Macaca fascicularis: one gene and its partners. The protein of the gene in region 1 interacts with the protein of each later gene in a pairwise test. Links are inferred from orthologs where the notes say so. Each region holds a gene or a part of one and is shown on either strand. Other genes may lie near its edges. The genes, in order: OSGIN1, CAPN3 and BCAR3.

Region 1 (3,592 bases):
GTTGTAGTGAACCAAGCACCACTGCACTCCAGCCTGGACAACAAAATGAGACTCTGTCTCAAAAAAATAGAAAAATAAAAACTGAACTGCTATGAAAAGGTAGCACCTTGGACCATGAGAGGAGTCTTTGCTGCGATGGCAGTGGAGGGATTTGTGTCAGAAGAGGCTTCCTAGAGGAAGTGATTCTTACCCTGAGAGACCCCAAGGAAGAGGAATTAAAGAAAGGCGGGAAACTGTCCTGGGCTGGGGACCCTCTGTGCAAAGGCCCTGCGGCAGGCAGGGACCTGGCCAGCAGGAGGGACTGAAAGGAAGCCACGTGGCAGAACAGAGAGGAGAGGGGACAGACTGCGGGGGGGGGGGGGGCAGAACTGCAGTGCCCTCCGGGACACCACTCCCTGCACACACCCGCCACTGCCACCCCCAGGCTGTAGTACAGCTGCCCGCTCAACTGCTCCCACACTTGGGGCACCATCCTTTGTACCCCAAGGCCCCAGTCATGGACCTCATCCAGGACCACATGCCCCAGGACTCCTCCCCCAATCGCCTTCCCTCCCTTCCCCCGAGCCCAGTGCAGGGTCCCGGGAACACAGCTCCTTCCCTGAGCACAGAGTCCTCAGACGCATGAGTGCAGGTGGGCACTGGCTTTATTTGGGACCTGCTTCTGGAAGGCGCAGGCCTGCAGGTCTCCTGCTGGGTGCTCAGCTGGTCCTGGTGATCCCAGCTCACACCAGCAGCTTTACCCCCAAATCCTAGGTCTAGGCCGACCCTGGCCTGCGGCCACTGTTACCACCTCAGACACTGGGATCCCTACTCCTCTTGACCCCAAAGGTCAGCTATGTGGGCTGACGCCCCTCCCTGGGGCATCTTTGGACGGACCCTACATCCAGCAGAGATGTGGTCATCTTTGTCCTCTCAGGGCCTGGGAGCCAGCAGGTCTGGCCGGGTGTTAGGGTGGCTTCCTGGTCTCCTTCCTTAGCAGGGAGCTGGCCACAGCCAGGGCTCCCCCCTGCACAAACCTCACGAAGTTGTCCCCGGCCAGCGGCCCCATGGCGTACAGGCCCTCCTGGCGGGTGCTCTGGTAGGTGAAGGGGTCCACGTCAATGGGGTTCCTCTTGGTGCTCAGTGGCTGGTCAGGGTCCACTGCAAAGTCAGCCCCTGCCCCAGGCAGGAAGGAGAGGTCGGGGTGGGAGCCGATGAGGACCAGCACCAGGGAGACCTCAAACACCTTCTCGACACCCTTGAGGTCCTGGAACACGGCCTGGCAGTCTTCCTTGAAGCACAGCAGCCGGTGCCCGGGGAGGCTGCGGTAACCCTCGTAGGGGCTGGGCGACAGGATGGACTGCTCCCGCATCATCTGATGCACCTTGTGGTACTCAGGGTACAGCATCTTGGGCAGCTGGTTGAACACCAGGCCAGGGTCGTCCACAGCCCGGCGGAAGGCATGGATCACGGGGATGTTGTAGTGGCGGGCGTAGAGGACTGCATCAGCCGCTGACAGCCCCGCGCCAATGATGAGGACAGGGTCCGAGGCTGGGGTCAGCGCACCCACCCTTGTGGCCGCCTCCAGAGCGGACAGCTCATGGTGGATGAAGGGCAGGGCCTCCCCGGGGATGCCCAGCCGGGCTGGGCTGTCGAACGTGCCTGTGGCGAGGACCACGTTGCGGGCCCACAGCGAGAAGGGCTGCCGGCCCTGGTCCCTGCTCAGGAAGCCGCTCACCTGGAAGAGGGGGCTGGAGTCCTGGGCCCCACAGCTGTTGGGATTGGGCGTTCCCCACTCCACGGCTGTGACTACAGCACCGGACACAAAGTTATGCCCCAGACCCTTCTTGACCACGTAGTCCCTGTAGTAGTGGGCAATGTCCCCGGCCGTGGCCCGGCTGTTGCGAAGGCCTCTGTTGGGGAGGATGCAGGAGGCCAGAGTCAGACACTGTTAAGGGTTGGGGGGCTGGGTGGGATGGGAGAGGTCCAGGGCGGTATCAGGCCCTGGAGCTGGACTAGGCTGTAGCTGTAGGACTGGGCCAGGTAATTCAACCTCTCCAAGCCTCAGTCTCCTCTTCTGTAAAATGGAGCTAACAAGGGTACCTCCCTCAGGAGAGGTGGTATAGGGTAGTGTAGGGTGGTGTAGGGCGGGGTTCAGAGTGCAGCCTCCAGAGCCACACTGCCTGGGCTCGAATCCTGACTCTGCCATCAGGGAGCTGTGTCTGTTTCCCCAGTTTGCAAAATGAGGAAGATGTTGGTGGCAGGACCTATTTCGTGAGGTTGTGGAGAGGATTTGGTGAGCCGATAAAAACAAAGGGCTTAGGATGGGCCACCATGATTGTCACCTCAAAGGATTAAATATGGTATGATTCCGTTTTTATATAGTTCAGAAACAGGCAGAACTCATCTATGGAGTTGGTCATCAAGAGAGGGGTTACCTCCGGGGATGGGGAAGGGGGTCCTGCTCGGAAAGGGCATGGGGGCTTCTGGGAAGAAGGTCGGTTTCTTGATTCTCTGTGCTTACCTTGAGAAATTTCATCAACCGGTACTCACAGGAGTTACGTACTTTTCTATATGTAGCTAATTTTTTAAATTTTATTTTATTATTATTTTTTGAGACAGAGTCTCACTCTGCTGCCCAGGCTGGAGTGCCGTGGCGTGATCTCAGCTTACTTTGGCCCCCGCTTCCTGGGCTCAAGCGATTCTCATGCCTGTGCCTCCTGAGTAGCTGGGACTACAGGCATGCAGCGCCAAGCCTGGCTAATTTTTGTATTTTTATTAGAGATAGGGTATTGCCGTGTTGGCCAGGATGGTCTCGAACTCTTGACCTCAAGTGATCCACCGGCCTCGGCTTCCCAAAGTGCTGGGATTACAGGCTCGCATCACTGCACCCGGCCCATATGTAGTCAATTTAAAAGTTGATTTAAAGACTCCCACGTGAGGCACTCGCCATCATTCCCAGCCCACACAGCAGCAGGAGGTATTTTATTATTGTTGTTGCTGTTTTAATTGTCACTCTTTCCAGGGGCAGTGACTGCAGGCCCATTCTTGTGGGGGTTGAATGACAGGCTTTGGCATCATCCTAGCACCTTCCTGTATCTCACTGTGTGACCTTAGATGAGTTAATTTACCCAGCTTGTGGGCTCATGGTTCAGGATGAACTCCCTTATGGGAGAATCCTGTGCCACCTGCTGTCTGGCTACATGTAGCAGGAGCTGACAATGGACCTCCAAGGCCGTGCCAGTCAACCCAGCGCAGCTCGTCTGTGACCCTGGAATTTATCTCTGTGGGCCGCCATTCTCCTTTTCTCAGTTTTTGTAAAGGTTGTGATACAGAACGGTCCCAAGAGCATGTTCTGTGCGGAGTTATTTATAATAATGACACAATGGAAAGAATGAACGCTCCAGGGCTGGCAGGGGCTGGGTAACCTTGGCAGCGCCGTGAGGGCAGGGGGTGTGTCTGCGGTGGTTTTGTGCTCTGATGTCTAAGCCCAAGGCCTGGCACATAATAAGCATTTGGTGATTTGCCGGACTGGGGATGCTCACCCGCCTTTGGGAATATTGTGAGGCCACGTAAAAGGATGGTTTTGAACGCTGTGACATCGCCACATGAA
Region 2 (4,411 bases), on another chromosome or scaffold:
ATCTAGTACCTAGAGCATAACAGGCCCTTAAAGCATTTTTATTAATTTGTAAGTCTAGCTTGTGACTCAAGTTCACCAATGATTTCACTGAAAATAGTATTTGTAGGTTTTAATTTTACCCATTCTGAGAAAGGGCTTTTATTTCTTTTTTTTATAGAGATAGGGTCTCACTATGTTGCCCAGGCTGGTCTCCAACTCCTGAGCTCAAGTGATGCTCCCACCTCTGCCTCCCAAAGTGCTGGGATTACAGGCATAAGCCACCACGTCTGGCACAAGAAAGGGTTTTTAAGAACTCCCTGCCTGGGAACGCAGGACTATCCTGTCTCACCGGTCAAGGCCCTCGGGCATGGGTTTTCATTCACCAGCATCAGCTGAGTACCCACTATGGGACTGGCCTGAACTTGGTGAGTGGGCCTCAAAGATGAACAGGAAGAGTCTCTGCTCTCAGTGAGAGGAAAACAGTCATGAGAAAGATTGAAGGAAGTGACACCTGAGCAGAGTTTCAGACAGGAACAAAAAGGGCATGCCAGGCAGACAGACAGCATGAGCAAAGGCCTCCGGTGTGAGAAGACTTGGAACCACAGAGCAGCTAAATGTCCAAGCACTGCTGGTGTGTCAGGATCTGCGAAAAGAGGATGGAGATGGGCCTGGATAGGTAGGCAGGGACCAGCTGAGAAGGGCCTATGGCTTGGCTAAGGAGTTTGGATTTGTCCTGAAGGCAGTGGGGGATTTGTCCTGAAGGCAGCCGAGAGAGGGATGTCACTGAAGATATTTCAGCAGGGGGTTATGACGTGTCCAACTACTCTGATAGCAGAGCAGTGTTATCTTCTAAACTGAAGGCCTGCAGGACAGTTATGGGCCTTACCATAGAACCAAGAAGAGCACCTATGGAATACATGGGGTTGTGGAGTATTCCACCTCAGGTTTGTTGTTGTTGTTGTTTGAGACTGGGTCTCAGTCCTGTCACCCAGCCTGGAGTGCAGTGGCGTGATCTCAGCTCACTGCTGCCTCGGACTTTGTGAGTTCAAGTGATCTTCCCACCTCAGCCTACAAGTAGGTAGGACCACAGGCATGTGCCACCGTGCCTGGATAATTTTTTGAATTTTTAGTACAAAAGAGATAGATTTTTGCCCTGTTGCCCAGGCTGGTCTCAAACTCTTGGGCTTAAGCAATCCTCCAGCCTGGGCCTCCCAAAATGCTGGGATTACAGGCGTGAGCCACCACGCCTGGCCCATCTTAGGTTAAAGAAAAACATGACTAATGAATAGTATCAGGTGTCAGGTTGCCATCGTTTCCTCAGGAAGGGTTTCTCTCCCTGGACCAGGTTAGCTCTCCTTGCCACATGATCCCGTGGCACCCAGAACATCGTCTCCTGACAACGTCACTCTTGTTCAACGCCCATCTTCTCTTCAGGACCCTAGGTTCCAAGACAGCTTGGATTTTGGTTTTTCTTACTCACTGCTGTCCCCCCAGTTGCTTGTCCAGTGCTGGCACTAGTAGATGCTCAATAAATATTTCTTGAATTAAGAACAAAAGTCACACTGGAGGGATGATCAGAGAGGCGAGCCAGGGGAATGTGATTTCCCTCCTGGTGATCACTATAAATGAAACCCAGAGGCTGGGAGAGTTTCCTAAAAGAGAAAGTTTTAATCCAGGCTCTGTCATGTGCCCACTGGATATATTTCGCTCTGGTGTGCCTTGACTCCTCGCTTATGAGGTGAGGTAGGTGGACAAAAACGATTGCTAGGTCTCTCTCTCTAACCCCAACATTTTATGCATGAAAAAATATTCCGTGCTTATGACTCTCTTCTTTCTAGGGTTGCTATGTTTCAGAAAGATATGGCCACTGGTAAATTAAAGAAGAATAACATCATGATTTTAGCCAGAGAAACTAAAGTGATCTTACAAAGATGAAAGGTATTTAAAATGAAAGGGTAGATCTGGGCTCTCTGGAATTTGTTCTGAGAAAGGAATATTTTTACAGGATGAATTAAACTGAGTTCCAACCACTTTTATAAAAAGCAAGATTTTTTTTTTTTTTTTCAGAGAGAAAGAGTCAGAGCATGAGAATCAGCCCCACCTCCCCCGCTCTCCCTCTGGATTTTGCTGAGATTTGGTGAAATATCTGAGACCTGTTCCTCTCCTCCCTGCTTCACACTTAAGGACAGAGCCCAGCAAAATTGCTGCCAGGATCCTTCCCCCATTGCCCATGTGCACAGCTGAGCTGCCGGAGGTGCTGAGTGGGAGGACTCCTCCGTGGGGGGAAAACCCAGCAAGTAAGCAGGAAGTTACTCACCGGAGGTCTCTTCCAGATGAACTGGATGGGGAACTTCTGGCTATAAAAGAGAGAGGTCTCATCCGGTGGGAACTCGGGGTCCACATAAAGAACTTTCTTTTCTAGACATTTCTTGTGAAGCTGCTCGAATGTCTTCTCTTTCACTCCGATAATAGGAAAATTGCGGCTGATGATGGCTGAATAGATGCCACTTGCGTTTCCACCCCCAGCCTCGGTGGCCTTGCTCTGAGCCGGGTGAGGAACTGGCCCTGGGGACCTTGGCTCAGCCGCTGTCCTTGGAGCCACAGATGCACTAATGACGGTCGGCATGGCAAGTGGCTTTGGAAGAAAAAGCTTTTTAAAGAAAACAAGATACAGCTACCTTCAAGGAAAGGAAGCAACTGCAAAGGGGAAGTTAGAGTAATTCTGTCATCTGAGAGAAAAGTGTCCACATCCAGTTCGAAGTTGAAAGCCCATCAGAAGGTCGTACAGGTTATGTCCATCTTAAAAACCGAGCTGTGATTCTGAAGCCATAAGTTCTCCTGAGAAATGAGTGCTAAAGGATTTCTGAAGCAATGTTGACCTGGGGTCTCCTACCAGCAGCATGCATGCCAGAGGGAGAGAGAAAGAGAGTGAGGGTTGTGTTTCAGTGGCCTGAAGATGCTTGAGCCAGAAAAACTAAAAATAGATGTGAAGAAACACTGTGAGTATGAGAGCAAGAGAGAGGAGAACCTGGCTAGGGACATCTCTGTTGCCATGAAGTGCTGGTGTTGTCAGAAAATGAAAAGGGAGTATCTGAGTAAGGTGAACACTGGAAAGAAGCTGAGAACTGCTGACATGTTATTGAGTAGGCAGTTATACAGACCACCCAACTACTGGCCAACAAATGAATGGAAAACAGTATTGCAAAAAAGCTAGTTAGGGTGAACGAGAGGTACTGAATTCTAGGAAAATATTCTGTGAATTTTAGAGAACATGATTTTTAGTCCTAAAATTTTAGGATATCAGAACATTATTCAATGTTAGATTTGGCATCTTTTCTAGAATGTTCTTGGGTCAGCGTTTATTGGAAATGTCTGCATGGAAAATGCTACTCAGCAGAGTCCTTGGTTGAGAAAATCCCTGCCTGTACCTGCAGACTTGACCTTGCCACCTCTTGTCTCTTCCCATCCCCAAAATAAACACTGGGACTGAATCTGCTATAAAAAGTGTACCTGCCGGGCGCGGGGGCTCACATCTGTAATCTCAGCACTTTGGGATGCCGAGGCGGGTGGATCACATGAGGTCAGGAGTTCGAGATCAGCCTGGCCAACAATAGTGAAACCAGTGAAAACACATAAATAAGACAGGCATGGTGGTGGGTGCCTGTAATCCCAGCTACTTGGGAGGCTGAGACAGAAGAATCGCTTGAACCCAGGAGGCAGAGGTTGGAGTGAACCCAGATTGCGCCACTGTACTCCAGCCTGGGTGACAGAACGAGACTCCATCTTAAAAAAAAAAAGTGCACCTGAGCACAGTAAATCCCCAGTGTCATCAATAGGTTCTAGTAAGCTTGTTTTGGTTAAAGTCACAGTTTACAAGAACCTATCAACGATGTTAAGTGAGGACTTACTGTATAGGTTACATGTTGACTCATTCAGCCATGCCACATTAGGCATCTGAGACAGAAGCTGGAACTGGATACTGAACCAGACTGCCTGTCAAGCCCTGGGATGTCACACCTGGTTTCAGGGCTCTTAGATGAGAGCATAAGTGGCTCTGGGGAAGGGAAGTGCCTGCCTGGCCTCCACCTTGTCTTCTACCCACAACAGCTGCTCCCTGGGCTGTAAGGAGATGACCACATTTCAAGTATGGCAGAGTGGAGGCATGTCCTAGGCTGTAGTCATGCCTGTTCCTATGCGACCAGTCTCAATAATCGAAGATTAGAGGCTATGGAAGAAGGTGGGAAGTGACAGGTAAAATAGGGAGTACTATCAGCCTCCTGATCCCTGGGATTGCGGCATTGAAGAACTCTTATGTCTGGGCTTGCAGGAACCATCAGCCTAGCCTTCTGTTCCTCCAGGAAAACGCCCAGGGCTCTTTACTAGTCTTGGAGAGGCAGAATAGAGGACAGCGGTCTCTGGTGGCTGACCACCT
Region 3 (3,646 bases), on another chromosome or scaffold:
ATGACAGGATCTCATTTTTTTATGGCTGAATAGTACTCCACTGTGTATACGCACATTTCCTTTATCTGTTCAGCTGTTGATGGACACTTAGGCTGCTTCCCAATCTGAGCTATTGTAAACAGTGCTGCAACAAACATAGTGCAGGTTATCTCTTTGATATATCTCTTTGATTTCCACTCTTCTGGGTATATACCCAGCAGTGGGATTGCTGGATCATATAGTAGCTCAATTTTTAGTTTTCTGAGGAACCTCCAAACTGTTCTCCATGGTGGCTGTACTAATTTACATTCCCACCAACAGTGTAAGACGGTTCCCTTTTCTCCACAATCCTCACCAGCATTTGTTATTACCCGTCTTTTGGATATAGGCCTTTTTAACTGGGGTAAGGTGATATCCGTTATAGTTTTGATTTACATTTCTCTGATGACCACGTTGAGCACCTTTTCATATGCCTGTTTGCCACTGCAGCGGCATGATCTCGGCTCACTGCCTCCTGAGTTCAAGCAATTCTCCTCCCTAATAGCTGGGACTACAGGCATGCACCACCACACCTGGCTAATTTTTGCATTTTTAGTAGAGATGGAGTTTCTCCATGTTGGCCAGGTTGGTCTTGAACTCCTGACCTCAGGTAATCCACCTGCCTCAGCCTCCCGAAGTGCTGGGATTACAGGCGTGAGCCACCATGCCCAGCCCATTTGTATGTCTTCTTTTGAGAAATACCCATTTCTCAAAAGAGCAAATCTTTTGCCCATTTTTAAAATCAGATTATTAGATTTTTTCCTATAGAGTTGTTTGAACTCCTTATATTAATTTTCATATTTTTTGTAGAGATGGGGTTATGCCATGTGGCCCAAGCTGGTCTCGAACTCCGGAGCTCAGGCAATCTGCCTACCTTATTCTCCCAAAGTGCTGGGATTACAGTTGTGAGCCACTGTGCTGGGTCTGAGTCTGACATTCTGCTCCCCTCCAGATAATAATTATCACGAGCATTTCCCTAGCATCTCCTATGTGCCTGCACTGTTCTGAGCACTTTGCATATATTAAATCATGTACACCTCACAAGCTCCATCTTTCCAGATAAAGAAGGTGAGGCCCAGGAAGGTCAAGTCGCTTGCCTATGGTTGAACAGTTGCCCAGTGTGGAACCAGCATTTGTGCCTGGCTACCAGGTCCCCAGCCAGATGCTGACTAGCATGTGCCAGAGCCTCCAGGCAGCACACAGCTGTCATCTGCATTCCACACAGAGTCCTGTATTTTCCTCCCGAAGTTTTGCAGTATAGAAATGACAGTTTGTGACATTTCCTCATGGACCAAAAAGAAAACCAGTGAGTAGAATAAAACATGTTGGTTTACGTGCATAAGATTAGAAGCTGGGAGACGGCTCAGGCTGCTGTGTGACTGAGGGGCTGGACTGGATCTGTGTTCTTATGCCTGCCTTTTCTCTCGTTTCCTTTCCCAGTGCTTTTAGATAATATGCACAAAGACTCTGAGCTCCATGAAAGATCGGCCCTATACAAATGCAGCCCACCATCGCTGACATTTGACAGCTGGGTGCCTAGGATCAGGGAGGCCTGATTTGAAGCCCTGATTTTCCACCAAGTGCCCCGAATCCTTCTCTTCCCCCATTCCCTGCGATTCAGAATACAGCCCCATGCTCTCTGCATCTCCTATCTTAGACATCTCATCTGTTCTCATCAAGTGAACCACCCTTTCCATGTGGACCAAGCCCTAATTTAAGTTTTCAGCCCTAACTCATCGCCTGGACCCCAAAACTGCTGCTGGACTCTGGCACTCAACAAAACCACATCTTCCAGCTCAGATGAAAAAGTGTGTTTTGGCCGGGTGTGGTGGCTCAAGCCTGTAATCCCAGCACTTTGGGAGGCCGAGACGGGCGGATCACGAGGTCAGATCGAGACCATCCTGGCTAACACGGTGAAACCCCGTCTCTACTAAAAATACAAAAAACTAGCCGGGCGAGGTGGCGGGCGCCTGTAGTCCCAGCTACTCGGAGGCTGAGGCAGGAGAATGGCGTAAACCGGGGAGGCGGAGCTTGCAGTGAGCTGAGATCCGGCCACTGCACTCCAGCCTGGGCGACAGAGCGAGACTCCGTCTCAAAAAAAAAAAAAAAAAAGAAAAAGTGTGTTTTATCCTCCACAGTGCCCTTCCTCCTGGTCACTCCTGTGGTCTCCAATGTGCCCTCCTCTGACTCTACCACGTGCAGAAGAGTCCTGGGAGGCCAGGCTCCTGCATCTCTCAACTCTCCCTTCGCTCCACTCCTGCAGCCAGGGCCCTCCATGACTCAGTAACTGGGTTTCCTGTTCCTGTCTCACTCCTCGCCCCCAGTACATTGCTGTCCATTTCTATTCTTAGGACACCGTGTTCACTATGCTGAATCTGTGCAGCTCCCTCAAAGCCCTGCACCTGGCATTAAGGCCCCCATGATATGGCTGGGGCTACCTCCCTAAGCCGACTGCTATGGGTCCCTTGCACAGACCCTTTGTTCCAGCCCCATCAGCACACTCACTGCAAGCTCTTCATGGCATTTTCTGTCCCCACACTTATGCCCATGCTGTGCCTCCCACCTGGAACACCCCCTGCCTTTTACAGCATCTATCCAAATTTCCCCCAGCCGTCAGACCAGCCTAAGCCTACCCCCTTCACAAGGTCTCCCCTGTAAGTGCCCCCACAATCCTTCCTCAGCTCCTGTACCATTCATTGCTGGCCCTGCTCGGCTAGGAGCTGATCGTGCACTGCCTCATGACTGCTATTCCGCGAACAGTCAGCATCCCTATTAACACCTTTTATTTCTCTGTTCCATGATGAATTCTTCATCTGCCTAACTAACCTTGGGCACCCCCGGCGCCCCTCATAGTCCTGAGGAGGAGACCCTGACCTACCTGAGGAGGTTTCCCCTGGGCAAATTCTGCTCTCGGGCCTGGACGCCACCCATGGTGAGGCTCAGCCTCTTGGTCACGTCTGGCCTTCCCTCGGTGAGGCTGCCCTCCCGGGCCTGGCCTGGGGAGATGCCATAACGCTCCTCCAGGCACCGCAGGGGCACCGTCCTGTTGATGGGCTGGAAGATGATGGCGCCACTCTGCTGGGAGATGGGCCGGCGGTTGCCCACGTAGCAGCGCACCAGGCCAGGGATGGAGTCGAAGCTCTCCATCTCGAACTGGTACTGCACGCGGCTGTAGGCCTCGCTGAGCCGCAGAACCGTCCGGTTGATTTTGAAGTGCTGAGCGAGGTTCTTCCACTGACAGGTCAGGACAAAGTTCCCAGGGCTGGACAGAGAGTCACGAACTAGGAAGTCGCCATCTCGCTGCACAAGGTTTTCCGACACCTTTGGGACAAAAAGGTGAGTGAGGGGTAGGAAAGGCAAATTCACATTCCTTCTAAAAGCTTATGGCTACCCACTTCTCTGGGCCAACAGAAGACAATGCTACTATGTCTCTTCTTGGGCCAGTTCTTTAGTTTTTCAAATAGCAAATTCATAGGAGATCCAATCATTCATTCAAGAACTGTTCATTGACCACCTACTCGTGCCAAGAACCACTGCAGGCTCAGGGGATGCGGTGGTGACAGCGGCACCGAAGAGCCCAGCTCATGGAGCTCCTGGTTTTGGTGGGAGCTTCTGTTTGAGTGAGGAT

Evidence for each region.
Region 2: the proteins of OSGIN1 (region 1) and CAPN3 interact in binary tests that used the Homo sapiens proteins (3 or more experiments, as listed by UniProt). The two-hybrid records come from large-scale screens. The link is inferred for Macaca fascicularis from reciprocal best matches to the Homo sapiens genes OSGIN1 and CAPN3.
Region 3: the proteins of OSGIN1 (region 1) and BCAR3 interact in binary tests that used the Homo sapiens proteins (3 or more experiments, as listed by UniProt). The link is inferred for Macaca fascicularis from reciprocal best matches to the Homo sapiens genes OSGIN1 and BCAR3.

What each region holds. Positions count from the first base shown.
Region 1 is NC_088394.1:79,837,259-79,840,850, reverse strand, and holds the end of OSGIN1 (oxidative stress-induced growth inhibitor 1), read right to left. Parts: intron 1,893-3,592; coding exon 947-1,892; 3' UTR 627-946; downstream 1-626. UniProt on the Homo sapiens protein: Monooxygenase catalytic activity. Involved in regulation of cytokinesis; promotes RHOA activity, probably acting locally at the midbody in late cytokinesis.
Region 2 is NC_088381.1:18,956,283-18,960,693, reverse strand, and holds the start of CAPN3 (calpain-3), read right to left. Parts: upstream 2,910-4,411; 5' UTR 2,606-2,909; coding exon 2,297-2,605; intron 1-2,296. UniProt on the Homo sapiens protein: Calcium-regulated non-lysosomal thiol-protease. Proteolytically cleaves CTBP1 at 'His-409'. Mediates, with UTP25, the proteasome-independent degradation of p53/TP53.
Region 3 is NC_088375.1:140,814,922-140,818,567, reverse strand, and holds part of BCAR3 (breast cancer anti-estrogen resistance protein 3 homolog), read right to left. Parts: intron 3,340-3,646; coding exon 2,897-3,339; intron 1-2,896. UniProt on the Homo sapiens protein: Acts as an adapter protein downstream of several growth factor receptors to promote cell proliferation, migration, and redistribution of actin fibers.